2 linked regions of the Astyanax mexicanus genome follow. The protein of the gene in region 1 interacts with the protein of each later gene in a biochemical or structural test. Links are inferred from orthologs where the notes say so. Each region holds a gene or a part of one and is shown on either strand. Other genes may lie near its edges. The genes, in order: atf3 and jund.

The links.
Region 2: the proteins of atf3 (region 1) and jund form a complex in vitro, tested with the Homo sapiens proteins (2 studies listed by BioGRID and IntAct, with this or other methods). The link is inferred for Astyanax mexicanus from reciprocal best matches to the Homo sapiens genes ATF3 and JUND.

What each region holds. Positions count from the first base shown.
Region 1 is NC_064408.1:57,292,400-57,300,642, reverse strand, and holds the start of atf3 (cyclic AMP-dependent transcription factor ATF-3), read left to right. Parts: upstream 1-5,050; 5' UTR 5,051-5,179; intron 5,180-6,190; 5' UTR 6,191-6,198; coding exon 6,199-6,441; intron 6,442-6,921; coding exon 6,922-7,029; intron 7,030-7,330; coding exon 7,331-7,591; 3' UTR 7,592-8,243.
Region 2 is NC_064411.1:48,552,971-48,560,833, forward strand, and holds the start of jund (transcription factor jun-D), read right to left. Parts: upstream 3,232-7,863; 5' UTR 2,715-3,231; coding exon 1,878-2,714; 3' UTR 1-1,877. UniProt on the Homo sapiens protein: Transcription factor binding AP-1 sites.

The sequences.
Region 1 (8,243 bases):
TAATAAATATTTTTTAATTTATTTAGTTGAGTAGTTCTTGCCATACTATGGATTAGAACATTCCTCAAACAGGGCTGTTAACTAAATACCTATAACTCTTCCTCTTCACAACTTTACAACTGATGCTCTCAAACACATTAAGAGTCAAGAAATTCAAGTAATTAATTCTTGACAAGTTCAGCGCAGCTGTTAACTGAAAGACAGTCCAGGTGACTCTACCTCATAACGAGTGAGAAAATCCAGCCAGGATGTGCAAAGCTTTATCCAAGCAAGAGGTGCTACTTTGAAGAATCTTAAATATAGAACATACTCTGCTTTGTTTAACACTTTTTTGTTCCACATGCTGTTCTTCATAGTTTGAATAACTTTAGTATTCAGACCATTAAAGAACACTGAATTTATATGTTCACAGGTATATAATGATATAAAATGTGATATTTCTAATATTTTAATATATTATTTAGTGTCTGTTCCTGATTTGTAGGAACAAACATCTGTTGTGGGAGTTCTCAGCAGTGTATCTGTGGCTTTTATACTGTTCATAACAAAATCAGAATTATGTGTATGGCTAAATTAAATATTAAGTAAATATATATTAGGTAAACTGGGGTAAATAGCTTTCAGTTCAATATATATTGTGTAAAAGTTTACAATTGTTCTGTAATAATAACCTACAGTGTGTAATATTAACCCATGATGTGTTTAATACATATACCGATCCCAGACCTGTAAAGAGAGTTTGCAGTAGGGTCCCGCGTGCTGTGGGCTGTGGTGAGCGGAGTCGGGTTTTCAGGTGAGGACTGGAGGCAGTGATGATAGTAGCTGTGGTGCTGATGATGGGTGGGAAGCTGTGAGTCACGCTGGGAGCTTTACTGGAATGCAGCGCTGGTCAGACTGAAAGCGCAAATAAAGCATTGATCCCAGTGTTTTCTACTACTGCAGCGATACCGCTCTCTCTCTCTCTCTCTCTCTCTCTCTCTCTCTCTCTCTCTCTCTCGGTCTCGGTCTCGTGATGTTGAGGATCAGGGGATGAGTGTTTTCCTGCGCTTCTAGAGGAGGAAGATATGGGATGACTAGTCTCCATTTCCCGGAAAGGATGACGTAACTCCCCTGTTTTCTGTAAGAAGCTGCTATCTTAAAGACACACTGTGGTCTTTATGGGCACCTTATTGTTACCCTTTCCCCTGTGCCTTACTGTAGAGAATAGTTAAGAAGAAAAAGGCTTAGAAAAAGGCTTAAAGGCGATATGTAAAGTTACTTATAATCTTTAAAATATAATATAATTTTTAAGTCGTTTAAGTTCTCTTTCTGGGTCAGAATGTAACATCAACATTTACCCTTAACTGAAAAACAAAAACATTTTGTATGGTTGAACAACACATGGTATTTTGAGAGGCTTATATATTTTTTGACCATGTGTTGGTACTAAAAATGTAAAAAAGCCTTGAAGCCTTGAAGCAAAAGAATGTGAAAGTAAAGATAAATTAAAGTAAAGGAAGTCAGTTTAGAGTTTTAATCAGCCAAAACTTGATCAGAACACTCATAATAAGATAAGGCAAGGTAATTTGTTCATATTATTTATAGCCCTTTTTATACACAGTAACAACAACTCAATACAAATCGAGGATAAAACATCTTCTTTAAACATCATGTTTATATATTTTTTTATATAATTCTATATTAACTTATTAGGTTACAGGCTCTGTACTTGAAAGGTATATGTAAGTTATACTGTCCCAGTATAAACTGTCACACAAATACACACATAAATGCATAAATAAAAATATTAAATGGTTAAATAAGATACCACATAATACATAAACTGAACTTACTGACATTTTATTATAATCCCAGCAATAACCCTGAGATCCCGTATCCATTTCCTGTTATTTGATTGAAACAGTATGGTATTTTGCTTTAAAAAAAAGATGATGACAGACACAGACACGTTCAATTTTAAATACTTAACAGATAATAAAAGCTGGAAAGCAGCAACTAAACAAATTTTGCTGTAGTTACCCTGGAACCTCATAGTGTATTTATAGCTAATTGTTCTGTATTGACCTAAAAACAGCTGTACATATGCCTCAGTTTCTTTTTGAGGACACACCATGGCCCACAGACCTTTAGCCAGCTGTATGACTACGTACAAAGTAAAGGCAATCTCCATAGATACATAATTGCATAAATATAAAAGTATAGCATTTTTATAATCCCAGGAATAACCCAGAGATCCCCATTTTCTATTTCCTGTTATCTGAATGAAACAGTATGGTATTTTTCTTTTAGAAATTAGAAGTTAGTTTAAAACGGAAATATCTCTGCAGTCACAGCTTTAATGTGTCAAAATCATCTTCCCTTTATGATAAATTGTGAAATATCTTGCCCAGTGCTGATTTCTAGTGGTGTGTGATGTCCATTGGTTGCTAGCTAAGTCCACTAATGTAAACACTGAGCGTCATGATGTGGAGTTAATGCTTGCCTTAAATAGCCAAAAGTCAAAATAGTGTGAAATTAAAGAATAAAATATATGATGCTTTTTTATTATTGGTGTTACAGAATACATTATCATATACCATGGGCCATTAAAAAAGGTTTCTTGACATTTCAGATTAGCTAATACTTTTTTTAAAACTGGGCACCCATTTTGAATTACTGTAGTAAAAAAAATAAAAGTAAAAATATATATAAAAAAAATTTTTTGTCCCTTATCTCAAGAATATGTGATTATCCCTGCAGATAGTATGTTTTCCCTGTTAAACACTTTGTAACATTACAGTAAATACAAATAAACATAAATACAGTAAAAAAACAGTTATAAAATGTTGCGTTATGATATGAATAAAAACAGATGGTATAAAACATTTGCACAGTACATAATGCAGCAACTGCACTGTTAAAAAAATTGGGGGGTATTAACTGCCTCTAGATTCCACTTGTACAGATCACAGATTAGAGTACCCTAAACCCAAAATGTAAATGTGCTTTAATTTTGGTAAAATAATTATTCAAGTGGCTGAATTACCTGTCAGATTACTAGAGTTTTAACTGAAATCAGAAAATGTGCTTTTGAATTTTCAACTAGAAAATATAAAACTCATTTTACTTGTGTCCGTTAATCTTTTTAAACTTTCTGTTTCTAACCACACACCTGTATGTTGTTATTTTTTATTTTTCCCTTATATTATTTTTTATTACTGTATATTTAGTTACATAAAAAAGATGATGACAGACACAGACATGTTAAATTTTAAACACTAAACAGATAATAAAAGCTGGAAAGCAGCAACTGAACAGATTTTCAAAACATGTAGTAGTTACCCTGGAACCTCATAGTGTATTAATAGCTAATTGGTCTGTATTGACCTAATAACAGCTGTACATATGCCTCAGTATCTTTTTGAGGACACACCATGGCCCACAGACCTTTAGCCAGCTGTCTGACTACGTACAAAGTAATGGCAATCTCCATGACGTGATGTAGTCTGTCAGTTGGTGCACTACATAAAGAGTAGTCACACCACCACAATAAACTGTACATATTTACTCAAATGCTTCATCCACAATTAAAAGATATATACAGTAATTAGATTTTTTAGGAATTCTTTAGTCTAGAAAACAGATGTGACTGTTATGTTTTCCTATCTGGCTGTTTTATTTTGTTTACTATTTTCTGGTTATAGTTCTTGTGTGTGAATTTGCTAAGATGTGGGTCCCTCAAGAAATCTACCTATCACTCTGCTCATCACAAATTACAATCATTGCCCACAATGCTGGATAAAGCTATAAGAAGAACACTTTTGCAACTGTTAAGAATGTTGTGGTTCAGTCATACTTTAGGCTTATGTTTTGTTCAGAGGCACAGGGAACATTTTACTGATAAAAGACATTGCACTTACAGACTTCCAACCTAATCATCATTAAAAACCTGTCGGTAGATTTTTACTCTGAAAAATTACAAAAGTTTAGAAGTTTAGAACATTTCTTGGCACCAGTCAGAAAAACCACAGCATGTACTTGGGAAAACCATCAAGTAAAAAATTAAATTTTTTTGTGAAATGATAAAGCTCTTTGGGACAACCTTTCCAGTCATGGGAGTCAACAAGATATGTAAAATCAACAGTGTCATGTTTTGATTGCTATGTTATTGTTCCCTGGTAACTCTATGTGCCTGTGTGTGTGTGAGTGTGTGTGTGTTTACAAAGGCTGTATCTCTATAGAGTGGGAGAGGACAGGACATTTCCAGAACATAGGGTTAGGAGCCTATACTGGGGTGGTTCAAAACAATAAATGGTAATAAACCAGTACTTCAGGATACAGGCTGCACTGGCCTCCACTCCCTGAAATTCTTCTCTGGTAAGTCTGTCTTTGGCAAACTGAAAGAAACACAAGCCCACTTATGTCTTACCTCTGCCCTATCTTAGTAAACTGGAACAATTATTTTACCCTTAATCTTGACCATTAAAGTCTGATTTTCCTAACCTATGTGATTTTTGTCACAAACAGCTGCTGATCTAGCTCTAAGCTAAACTAAAGATGAAAAGTTTGACACACACACATACGTAAAGTAAATATGTATTACCTTAAAAAACTTTCTCCAACTTCCCAGCTTCGCATCTCTGTTTCTATACAGTGATCTGATCAGTCAGGGGTGTGTTTGGTCTTCATAACTGAATCTGGACACAGTTATGATGAAGTGAGAGAGCTGTCACGGCTGTGTGTGTGTTCAACAGATCGAGGGCGAGCTGGCCTGGTTCTGTATAAAGAGGGGCAAGCTGTCCTACTTTTTTGGTAACGTTTCAAGACAGCATACCAAAACTCCCCAGTCATTAGTCAGGCATGCCTTTATTTGCTCATTAGTGTAAAATGTTTGGAGCTACATTCCCGCAGTTCTGGAGGGGTGTGTGGGGGGGTGATCCTGTCCTCTTATGGTGTCTGTGTGGAGAGGGTTGCCTGATTGCATCATCGCAGAGCAAAGCCGCTCTCAGTGCTATAAATAGGCTGACGTCACCATGCCCAGCCCCGCCCCCTTTTACTAGTAAGATGCCTCGGCGAGGCTCCTACTATAAAGCGAGGGTGATGCAACGCGCCGCCGAGAGCTGTAAGTTTCTCAGCTGAGAGAGAGAGAGAGAGAGCACGCCGAGCCCGGACCCGTCCACGCGCCCTGCTCACACACACGGTGAGTACAGCCCCGCTCAGCCGCCGCCGCCTCTGCTGCTCCCAGAGCCGAGTCTCTGGGTTTCACACACAGACTGAAACAGGCGAGGCAGGGCGCGCGCGGGCTTTAAACTTTCCTCACCACACTCCGAGAGTCAGACCGGCTGCTTTACCCCTATAGCGAGAGAGATCTGCCCCCAATCTCAACGGGAAAGAGCTAAAACACGCAGAAAGACGAGCGATATGCCGATACAGGCTATAGGCTCGCTCTCGATCAGTCGGATTAGCAGACACACACTGAAGACTTTTCTCCTCTTCCCACACTGACTCCCACAACCTGTATCTTCATAATGACAACTTCTAAACTTTTACCACAACTCAGTTCACACACTAAGAAAAAATAGTACAGATTTGTACTTAAAAGAGGACCAAGCTTGTCGCTGTGGCTGTACTTTTTATTGAGAGCACATTTCAGTTAAAGTTTCGTTTTTTCATGTTTTTTGTACCAGTAAATATTTTAAAGATTATCTTCTTACAGAGTATGTGTCAAGAACTTGATGATCCAAAATTGTCTGGCTTTCAAATGAAAAATGTGTAATTAATATATATATATATATATATATATATATATATTGTTTATTCGTACAGTGATACAGAATACCGGTTAAATGGCTGGTTAAATTGTACAAATCTGTACCTCCTCCCTGTTCAAGAAAGTACTTTTTCGTACCTCTGGTTTTTAGTCTGTAAAGTACTTTATTCCAGCGCAAAGTTGAGTATTTCTGTTGATCCGTTCATCATGAAAGTTTGATGAAACGACAAAAAGCTACCTGATTAAAACTTTGACAAAATGTAAATATGCCGTTTTTGCGTGATAGTGACGATGTATATTTTACAGGGTAAATTAAATTGTGAGCTCGCTCAGGACACATGGCTATCTTGCTTCAGTAAACTGTTTATATGCAGGTGTTCTAGTGTGAGCAGTGTGCAGTACTACAGGTCTAACCCGCGCTGTGGATTTATATGTGTTCAGGTTTCAGAATGATGCTTCAGCATTCCGGACTGGGTTTCGGTCCTTCAGAAATCAGCGCCTCTGCCCTGGTGCCCTGTCTGTCTCCGCCGGGCTCCCTCACGCTCGACGACTTTACCACGTTCAGTCCGCTCGTCAAGGAGGAGCTGCGCTCCGCCATCCACAACAAGCGCCTTTCCAGCGGCATGAGCGCCACCCCGAGCTCCGGAAGCTCCAGCTCGGGCCCGTCCTGCGAGCCCCCAGTCAAGAGAGAGGTACTCCCGGCCACCATCATCACCACCTACAGATCAGCTCTTTCAGAGACATCAGTTAACTTTACATTAATTTGCTTGTTGTGGGATTGTATCCAAGTGCATCTCAAAAAATTAGAAGAGCATTGAAAAGTTACTTTATTTCAGTTATTCAATTTAAAATGTGAAACTTATATATTATATAAATGTATTAAACACACAGTGATCTATTTTACACATTTATTTATTTTATTGTTGGTGATTATGTCTAATGCACCTATATATAAGAGTTTCACATTTTGAACGTAATTACTAAAATAAAGTAACTTTTTAAAAGATATTCTATTTTTTGGGATGCACTAGTTTGTGATTAAAGTGAACAACATACATTTTATTGAGCCAAAGTGCAGTTTAAGAAGTAAAGATATAAGAAACATTCATAAAAGAGCATTAACCTATACTGACTATGCCGAGAAACTAACGTGTTAACTCACTCCCTTCCAGTTTACCTCTGAAGAAAATGATCGGAGGAAAAGAAGACGAGAAAGAAACAAAATTGCTGCTGCCAAATGCAGGAACAAAAAGAAGGAGAAAACAGACTGTCTGCAAAAGGTAGAGTTTGGTTAAGTTGTCTTTTAAGAGAATGTACAAGCAAAAAGTGAAAAGCTTTTTCAGTATTTTCTCTTTAAATTAACCTCACAAACTCACACATTAATTCGTATTACTAATGAATTCACATATTTATGGTATATAGATTAACACTTAAGAATAATAAGTATTTTTTTTATCAAATCCTTTGTTAACATTTCCTTGTTGTTTATTTGTGCCTGCTTGAATCAAGAAAATTCATCACATCTGCTTTACAGTATAATAATAATTAATTGTTACTTGTTCTTTTCTTGTACTCCTGTAGGAGTCTGAGAAGCTGGAGTCTATAAACGCTGAGCTGAAAGCTCAGATCGAGGAGCTAAAGAACCAGAAACAGCAGCTAGTCTACATGCTCAACCTGCATCGGCCAACCTGCATCGTGCGTGCCCAGAACGGCCAGACTCCAGAGGACGAGAGGAACCTCTTCATCCAGCAGATCAAGGAGAGCACCCTGCAAGGTCTAAACCTGACTACCGTCGGACCAGTGCTTGCCACCACTGTGCCAACCACATGTGGCCATCTCTAATGTACAGACTGCGAGGCTCTCGCCGTAAAGTTTCAGGACATTCTTTGCCAAGGGGGATCACAGAATCCTGTAGGAGACTACAAATAAAGACTAAGGACTAAGAAGAAGGTGGGTGCACCCCACATACTCTTGATGTCTCTCTGTAAGCAGTCTGTCAAAGCACTAACATTGAAAGACATTTGATGTGTTTAATGTTGTATACTATTTAAAACTGTAAAACAACTGTCAAATAACAATTTCATGCTGTTCTATATGTGCACCAAAGCGTGATATCATGTCCCCTAAAGTGACGTGATTTCATTTATATAGACATATGTTGTCATGTATAACCTTGTTAAATATAGTTTTGTGATGCTAGCGGTACCCAAGGAGGAATAGTACTGTAGTAATAAAACTGAATACACTGTGTTTTTAAGAATGAGGTGAGGATTGATATGCTCCATGTCATTAAATGGAACATACAGTTATTTTTCCAGAATGATGCATAATTCAGTGGTTGAGATGCTAACAAGTCAGCATGTGTAATTTGCTGGAATTAATTATACACAGTGGCAGTGATAGAAAGAGCATTAATCTGGCCAATTTATTAAGAACCTAAATGACAATGGAATTTACATGTAATGCTGATTAAGTTATTAATATTAATTATGGC
Region 2 (7,863 bases), on another chromosome or scaffold:
TTTATTACACAGTATTCCATTTAAAAAGGCAATACATATAGACATGTGACGTATTCAAAAGGGAAACACTTTCGACACGCGAGTCCATAACAAAAAAACAAACATATTTCATAACAGCAAACAATTCACAATAGCAAAAATAATAACAAAACAAGGAAGATAAGACATTGTGTGAAAAGCTGTATACAAAATAGATAAGGTCATCGGGTAATAAGTGCTCGTAGACAAATAAGGCTTTACACATGAAGAGTGCATGCATGACAATCTGTGTTTGGTTGCGCTCACTGAGCTTGTCTCGTTATCATGCAAAACACTGCTGCGTTTAGTCTTCTCCTCTTGTCCCAAACAGTCCAAAATAGTCCCAAATTGTCCCAAATAGGCCTAAAACAGGCTTGAGAACCAAATGTAGTAGTAGTAGTAGTGTTCTTTCAGACAGTCCCTTAGAGAAGTCCATTTGCTACAAAACGGTGTAAACATATTGAAAACATCTCTGTCTTTATACATCAGCACCAAAAGAGGGTGGATTGGGTACGCTGGGCCTTCTGGTAACATGGGAGGACACTTTAGTAGGACAACACTTTTGTTTATTCCAGTTTCAGCTGATGTTTACTGATCCAGATGTTCTGAATGAGTAGATTTGATTAGAAATGTCATTTTAGGTGAAAACCGGTTTCAACATTCTTGGCCTAGGACTTGTTCCCTCAAATTGAGAGCTATTTTAGAGTTTTTAAGGAAGAAACAGTTAAATACAGCTTAAATACTGAAAACCTCTTAGCCTTGAGTATTTAAAAAGCTGTAAACCAGCTTTTTAGTTCTATTTAAGCTTTTCAGGAATGTACAATATACTTATCTTATACATACTATACCATACCAAAGCACTGTCCCATGTGACCTGATGGACCTTTCCATTATTATACCTGAACCCACCCTTGGTGATGTCCCCTTATTTTTGGTGTTTTGCCGTAGCTCCGTAAAGTTCATAAAGTCTATGTTCTTCTGCTGGAGGAGGAGATATGGAGCCCTGCTGCGGAAAGCCAACGTAAGTAAAAATAAGCTGTGTCCACATAGGAACAAGATCTTGTTATTATAAGTCATGGCCGCAACTTCATTATGTTATGCGTATTAGCTTGTAAATACAGCTTAATTATCATGTTCCCACTTTTTTCCAAGCCAAGGCCATGACTTAATGACTCATCATGTCTCCATTGTTTCACTACCTTGTGGCCACAACTTAATTATCTTGTTCCCACACCTTATTAGGTAGAGGCCATGACTTAATTACTTGGTTCCCACAACTTACTAAATCATGGTCATGACTTTTTGGAGTTTTCTTGTTCCCACATTTATAAAAAACAAAATGAATAGCAATACTCTTATTTTTCTTTTCCCATACCATATTAAGTTGTGGACACAGTATAGGATCCTGTTCCCATATTTTACTTAATTAAGTCATCTTAGTAAATTGAGGCAGCAACTTAATTATTTTGTAAGCTGTGGTCACAACTCTATTTTGTCCTTCCCACACTTAACTAACTTGTGGCAATTACTTAATTATTATCATCTTGTCCCACACCTTAGAAAGCTATGGCCACGACTTAACTCTCTTGTTTCCACGCCTTATTAAATTGTGGTCAATACTTAACAATCAAGTTCCTATGCCTTACAGCTCATACAGCTTGAACATAAACATGAACATGACATGGGATCAAGTCGTGGCCACGACCTAGTTTCATTTTCACTGCATGTCAGCAGCAGGGCACCATAGTGTGAGGAGTAGGGATCAGAAAATAAAGAGAAAGAGGAGTAGAGAGGGTAGATAGATAGACAGATAGATAGAAAGGTCTCTCCCAGAGTTCCTCCTCCTCTATCTCAGTATCTCAGTAGGCCTGCACCTGGCTGGGCAGCAGCTGGCACCCGTTGTTGACATGGTTGAGGACCCTCTGCTTGAGCTGCGCCACCTGCTCCCTCAGCACGCTGGCAGTGGAGGCGAGCTCCGTGTTCTGGCTCTTGAGGGACTTCACCTTGTCCTCCAGCCGCGAGATGCGCTCCAGCTTGCGCTTGCGGCACTTGGAGGCGGCGATGCGGTTGCGCAGCTTCTTGCGCTCGGCCTTGATGCGCTCCTGCGTGTCCATGTCGATGGGCGAGAGCGGGGGGCTGTCGCCGAAGCACTGGACGTCGGGGACGGTCTGGGGCTCGTCCTTGAGGGGCTGGAGCCGCGAGTGCTGCTCGGCTGAGGTGGGAGCCTGCTGTGGTGCTGGCTGCTGCTGCTGTGGAGGAGGTGGAGGTGGAGGAGGTGGTGGGAAAGGGATGGTATCCGTGCTGTAGTTCACCGTGGTGCTGTACGTGCTCAAGTTCGTGTACACGGGAAGGTCTGTGGGTAGAGCCAAGCCGGCGTGGCTCGCTAGAAGCCGGCCGCCCAGCGCTCCGGCCGCCCCTCCGTTCAGCTGGTTCTGCTTGTGAAGGTCCTCCAGGGCTTTGACGAAGCCCTCGGCGAACTCCTGCTCGTCGCTGACGGACTTGGGGTAGGAGGAGAACTGCGCGGAGGCGGCGGGAGTCGTTGACTGGGCTATGAGCCTCTCCAGCTCCGGGGTGGCCAGCTTGAGAAGACCCAGCTCGGCTGAGGCAAGCATGGCCTCGCCGTCCCTCAGCTCCGGCTTGAGCTCGGAGGCGGCGCTCTGCTCGTTCAGGTTTAGGCTTAGTTCCTTCTTCATCATGCCTCTGTGGTGGAGGTGTGGATGAAGTGGTGAAGGTGGTGTTGATGGTGGTGAGAGTCTCTTTTGGGGTGTTTCTCTTTTTCTGCTGTTTTTACCTGTTAACCACTTCTTCAGGGTCTAGTAGTAGAAGGTTAGGTAGCGTTGGGTTTGTTGTGGTTGCCCATTCTACTCCCTAAGAGGGGGTAAAATGAGCCTGTGCGCTAAACAGCCGTCCATCTGAGTAGCCACGTATCCCAGCTTTAGGTAAGAGTCAGTAAAACAGCCCAAAACACGTTAAAACCCCGAAAAAAATACAAAAAAAACCCACTCGTTTTCTCACGTAACTCCTTACGTTCCCCGTCTCTCGCTTTAGATCGTGGTGTGAGCGCTTCTCAGCCCCGCAGCCTTCCCGGGTTCAGGATGGGCGGAAAATAAAACATTTGCAAGTTTTTCTCGCTCGCCCGAAAAAAAATTTCCATTATGTCACCCCAGCGCGCGCAGATTGGACCGAGATGACGTTCTCCCCCGGCCTCATCTGCATAAAGGGGCGGGCCCCTGCCCCGTCGCCCCGGAGACGCGGGGGCAAACTGCAAACAGCGCGCTGCATTCTGGGTTGATGTCATGACAGAAGACGTAGGGGAGCGCGCGAGGGTGGCGCGAGCGAGGGAGCGGAGCCGGAGCCGGAGCGCGCGGGAGGGGCTGGGAGGATGAGGGGGGAGGAGGGCGGAGGGAGAGGGGGCGGGGCGTCTGCGTGGAAATGCTGCTTTTATAGCAACAGCAGCAGCCTGTGGAGGAACTGAGTACAGGAAGCTGGACAGAAAGAAAGACATAAAGAAACACAGACAGACATATAGAAAGAATAAAAGAAAGAAAAACAGGCAGAAAGAAAGAAAGAGAAATAGAGTAATAGAGAAAGAAAGAGAGATCAAACGAAAGAAAAATAAATAAATAGAGAAATAAAGAGAGTAAAAGAAGGAAAGAAAGAGAAATAAATAGAGAAATAAAAAGAGACAGAGAGAAAGAAAAAGAAAGAAAAAAGAAAGAGAAATAAATAATAGATAAATAAAGAGAGAGAGTAAAAGAAAGAAAGATAGATAAATAAAGTAATAAAGAAATAAAGAGAGACAAAGATTGAAAGAAAGACAATAACGAAGGAGAAATAAATAAATAGAGAAATAAAAATGACAGAGAGAGCAAAAGAGAAAGAAAGAAGGTAAGAACGAAGAAAGAGGGAAAGAAGGAAGAATGTTTCTTACAGTTTTTTTAGGGGGTTTTCAGACACCTCAAAGTAAAGATAGGGAAAGAAAGAGAGAGAGAGAGAGAGAGAGAGAGAGAGAGAGAGAGAGAGAGAGAGGCTGAAACTGTTTCTTCTTGGAAATTCCTTTTCTTAAAGTTTTTCTTAGGAGGCTCTCAGACACCTCAATATTAAGAAAGAGAGATAGATAAACAAAGTGGATACAGAGAGAGGGAGAGAGAGAGGGAGGAGGAGGCTGAAACAGTGTCTGGTTGGAAACTCCTATTCCTCAAGTCTATGGAGGCTTTCAGACACATCAAAGTGAAAAGTGAGAGAGAGAGAGATTGGAAGGAGGTGTAGGAGAGGCTGGAACAATGTCTGGTTGGAAATGTTACCCTTCCTCCATCCTGTGGAGACTTTCTGGACGTCTGCAGCTCAACTTTGCACACTGTTTTCATATCTGAGGACGCAGGAGTCACACATTTCCACATAAACACACTCTGAGAGAGTCTGACTGCTGTAAGCCCGAGAGAAGTTCAGTGTAATCTGGAGTATCCACAGTTCATCTACCATTTAGAGCACATGGACCGACTGTTTAAATTATCTGTCTGAGATGTAAACGATGCCAGTCAGCTGGCATCACTGGCTGCAACACAAGCCCAAAGCATGACCCCTCCACTCCCTTGCTTAACACTTGGGAAGGTGTTATTTTCATAAAATTTGTCAGACTTTGTTTTAGCAAAACATATCTTTGCTGACTGTATTCAAAAGACTAGAACATGCCTCCTCTGATACATGTGAAGTCAGCCACACCTCTTTTTAAACTGCGACTGATGCAGCATTGCCGAGTAGCATCACTGCACGCTTGGAGGAAAGCGCAGCGACTCGGTTCTAATACATCAGTTCACAGATGCCTTGTGCTGATGGACATCACCCTAGGAGTGATAAGGGGAAAGAGCTCCATCTACCCACCCAGAGAGAGCAAGGCCAATTGTGCTCTCTCAGGGCTCCAGTAGCTGGTGGCAAGCTAGTACAAAAGAGAATAATGTATTGTTTTTTTTGTGTATACTAACCTGTCAAACATGCACTATTAAGATCAATGTAGGGTCTAAACCCATAGTTTTAGTGTGTGGTACTCAATTAAGATGCAGCCAGAGCATTCATAAAGCTTTATAATGTACATTATATGGAGATAATCATGGACAAGTCCAGCCAAGGTCTAGGACCCTGGAAAAAATGATCTAAATGCTTAAATTGTTTGGTGTGACCAAGCTTTTGATGCTGCTCTTTCTTTTTTCTATTTGTTTATAACTCAGTGTTTTAAATACAGGGTCAGGGGGTCATTTAGTGGGGTGGTGTTTACCTGGATTCTCTGTTTTTAGCAGCACATAAGCTCTGGACCAGCCTCTTTAACATTTAACTCTTTACAGACATTTCTATTGTTCTTATAGCCATGGGCGTGGTAGTGGGGGGAAAAGTGGACCTGACCACCCAGGGCCCAAGTAGAGAGAGGGGCCCATGAAAATTTTTGCTCACGTTCCTTGTGTACTGGCATGGATAGGGGCCCACTGTCACTGAGAGTGTACAGGGCCCCGAATTTGCTGCTACGCCCCTGCTTATAGCACAGCTGCTTTCAATAATTTCAGAGGTGTAATAAAATAATAGCGAATCACATGCAGTGGATTTGTTCCATGGCAACCAATCAAACCCAAGAGAAAATATGCAAATCTTAAACAAAAATGATGTGAGAATATCCTTTTCATGCATATGTGGAACTATGTACAGTAACTCATGTTCTCTATAGATATGGAAGCTGTATTGAAATGGGGAAGTGGCCCCTGTACTGTTTGTTTCAGTGCCAGACAAATATTTACTCATTGTAATGTCCTGATCAGACAGTGAGACATAGATATTGTTGCAGTCAAAACAAAACCTCCATATGGAAACTTGGAAAGAGAAGGAGAAGAGATACTGAGAAAGATAATTTAGTATTGTGTTTCATGTTGTCACTGAAAAATAAGCAGATGACTGAATAGACTTAATAGATGCAGTAACACACAATAGGGTCACTACACTCAAAAAAATAAACTCACCCTGTTGTTGATTTTAATCAAGTATTTTTAATTAAAATTACTTAACAGCTTTGTGTTAGCAAGTGAAACCTGAGTCAGTTGGACTGCTGTGATGAAAGTCAGTTAAGTTGTCTGATTTAATTAATAAGTGCATGTTTGGTGAACGCATCCCAGTGAAGTAAACTCAACAGGCTGGCTACTTTCTTCATCCGGGACATTCGTGGCTGTCTGTGGACTTCTCTTCAGCAGCAGCGCCATTTTATTTTGGAAAAGCAGAGAGTGCGGTGAGTATTAGTCATAAATATATGTATATTTAAGCTGTACTTGGTAATTTATTAAAAGCAGTTCGTGTGTATGGGGAATTTAGGTAAGAGAAACCTCACTGTGTAATAAAATATCTACCTGGCCAGTCAGCTTCATGTTAGCTAGCTAGCCAAGTTAGCATTAGCGTTTTTTAATCACAAAATGCTTTTAAACTCAATTCACGGAATTGCGGTCGCATCATGTGGGTCTCGTAACCTCAAATAGTGTACATTTTAATTTTACGTGTATCTGGATACTCATATCTGCCAATCAATGTGTGAATTACGAGCTATGCTAGCGCTAGGGCGCTAGCGTTAGCTTGCTAGTGTTAGCTCGCTAGCGTTAGCACCCTAGCACCAGCATAGCTCGTAAAACAAACTTTTAAACTCAATTCACGGAATTGCGGTCGCATCATGTGGGTCTCGTAACCTCATATAGTGTACATTTTATGTTTACGTGTATCTGGATACTCATATCTGCCAACCAATGTGTAAATTACGAGCTATGCTAGCGCTAGGGCGCTAGCGTTAGCTTGCTAGCGTTAGCTTGCTAGTGTTAGCTCGCTAGCGTTAGCACCCTAGCGCCAGCATAGCTCGTAAAACAAACTTTTAAACTCAATTCACGGAATTGTGGTCGCATCATGTGGTCGTAACCTCATATAGTGTACATTTTAATTTTACGTGTATCTGGATACTCATATCTGCCAACCAATGTGTGAATTACGAGCTATGCTAGCGCTAGGGCGCTAGCGTTAGCTTGCTAGTGTTAGCTCGCTAGCGTTAGCACCCTAGCGCCAGCATAGCTCGTAAAACAAACTTTTAAACTCAATTCACGGACTTTTGATCGCATCCTAGGGGTGTTGTAACCACATATAGTGTAAAATATATTTTTATGTTTAGTTAATTATTCATATTTGTCTTCAAATGTGTGAATTATGAGCTTCGCTTGTGCTAGGGCGCTAGTATGCTAGCGCTAGCAGGCTAACGTCATTAAACGGCCAGTCTCGGAGTTGCGTTAGTAGTGTAATGTGGTTCACACGGTAAATAAGGGATATTTTGTGAAGTGTTTTTGGTTTAGCTAGATTTGGCTCATACCCACAGGGAAATACAATGTTTGAAACAAATAACTTAAGTGCACCGGTACTCATTTTTAGCTTTAAACCAAGTTCAGCTTGGCTGATTTAACATAAACTGAAGACCCGCTGAAGCCACACAATCCACTTAGTTTGGTTTAATGCCCGCGTATTCTCCAGTAAACTGGCTTTGGTAACGCAGTGTTGTGTGACTTGCACAAGCTTCCGTAGGACAGATGCTGCGCATGCTCAGAAGTTCAGTCCATGAACGAGAAACGTCTGGCGAGGATCGCGAGGCAGGTGAAAAGCGGGCGAATCTTGATCCATCCGAGTAATTATCGTAGTATATGTGCTTTTTTGTAATGTAATCTTTAAAGGTTATATGTAAGTGTGTGGTTATATTTTGAATTTTATGGCCTTGGTGTACCAAAAGCGGACACATTAATAGCTAGCAAACTTCCTTGCTTGCTGACTAGCTAGTTAGCTATA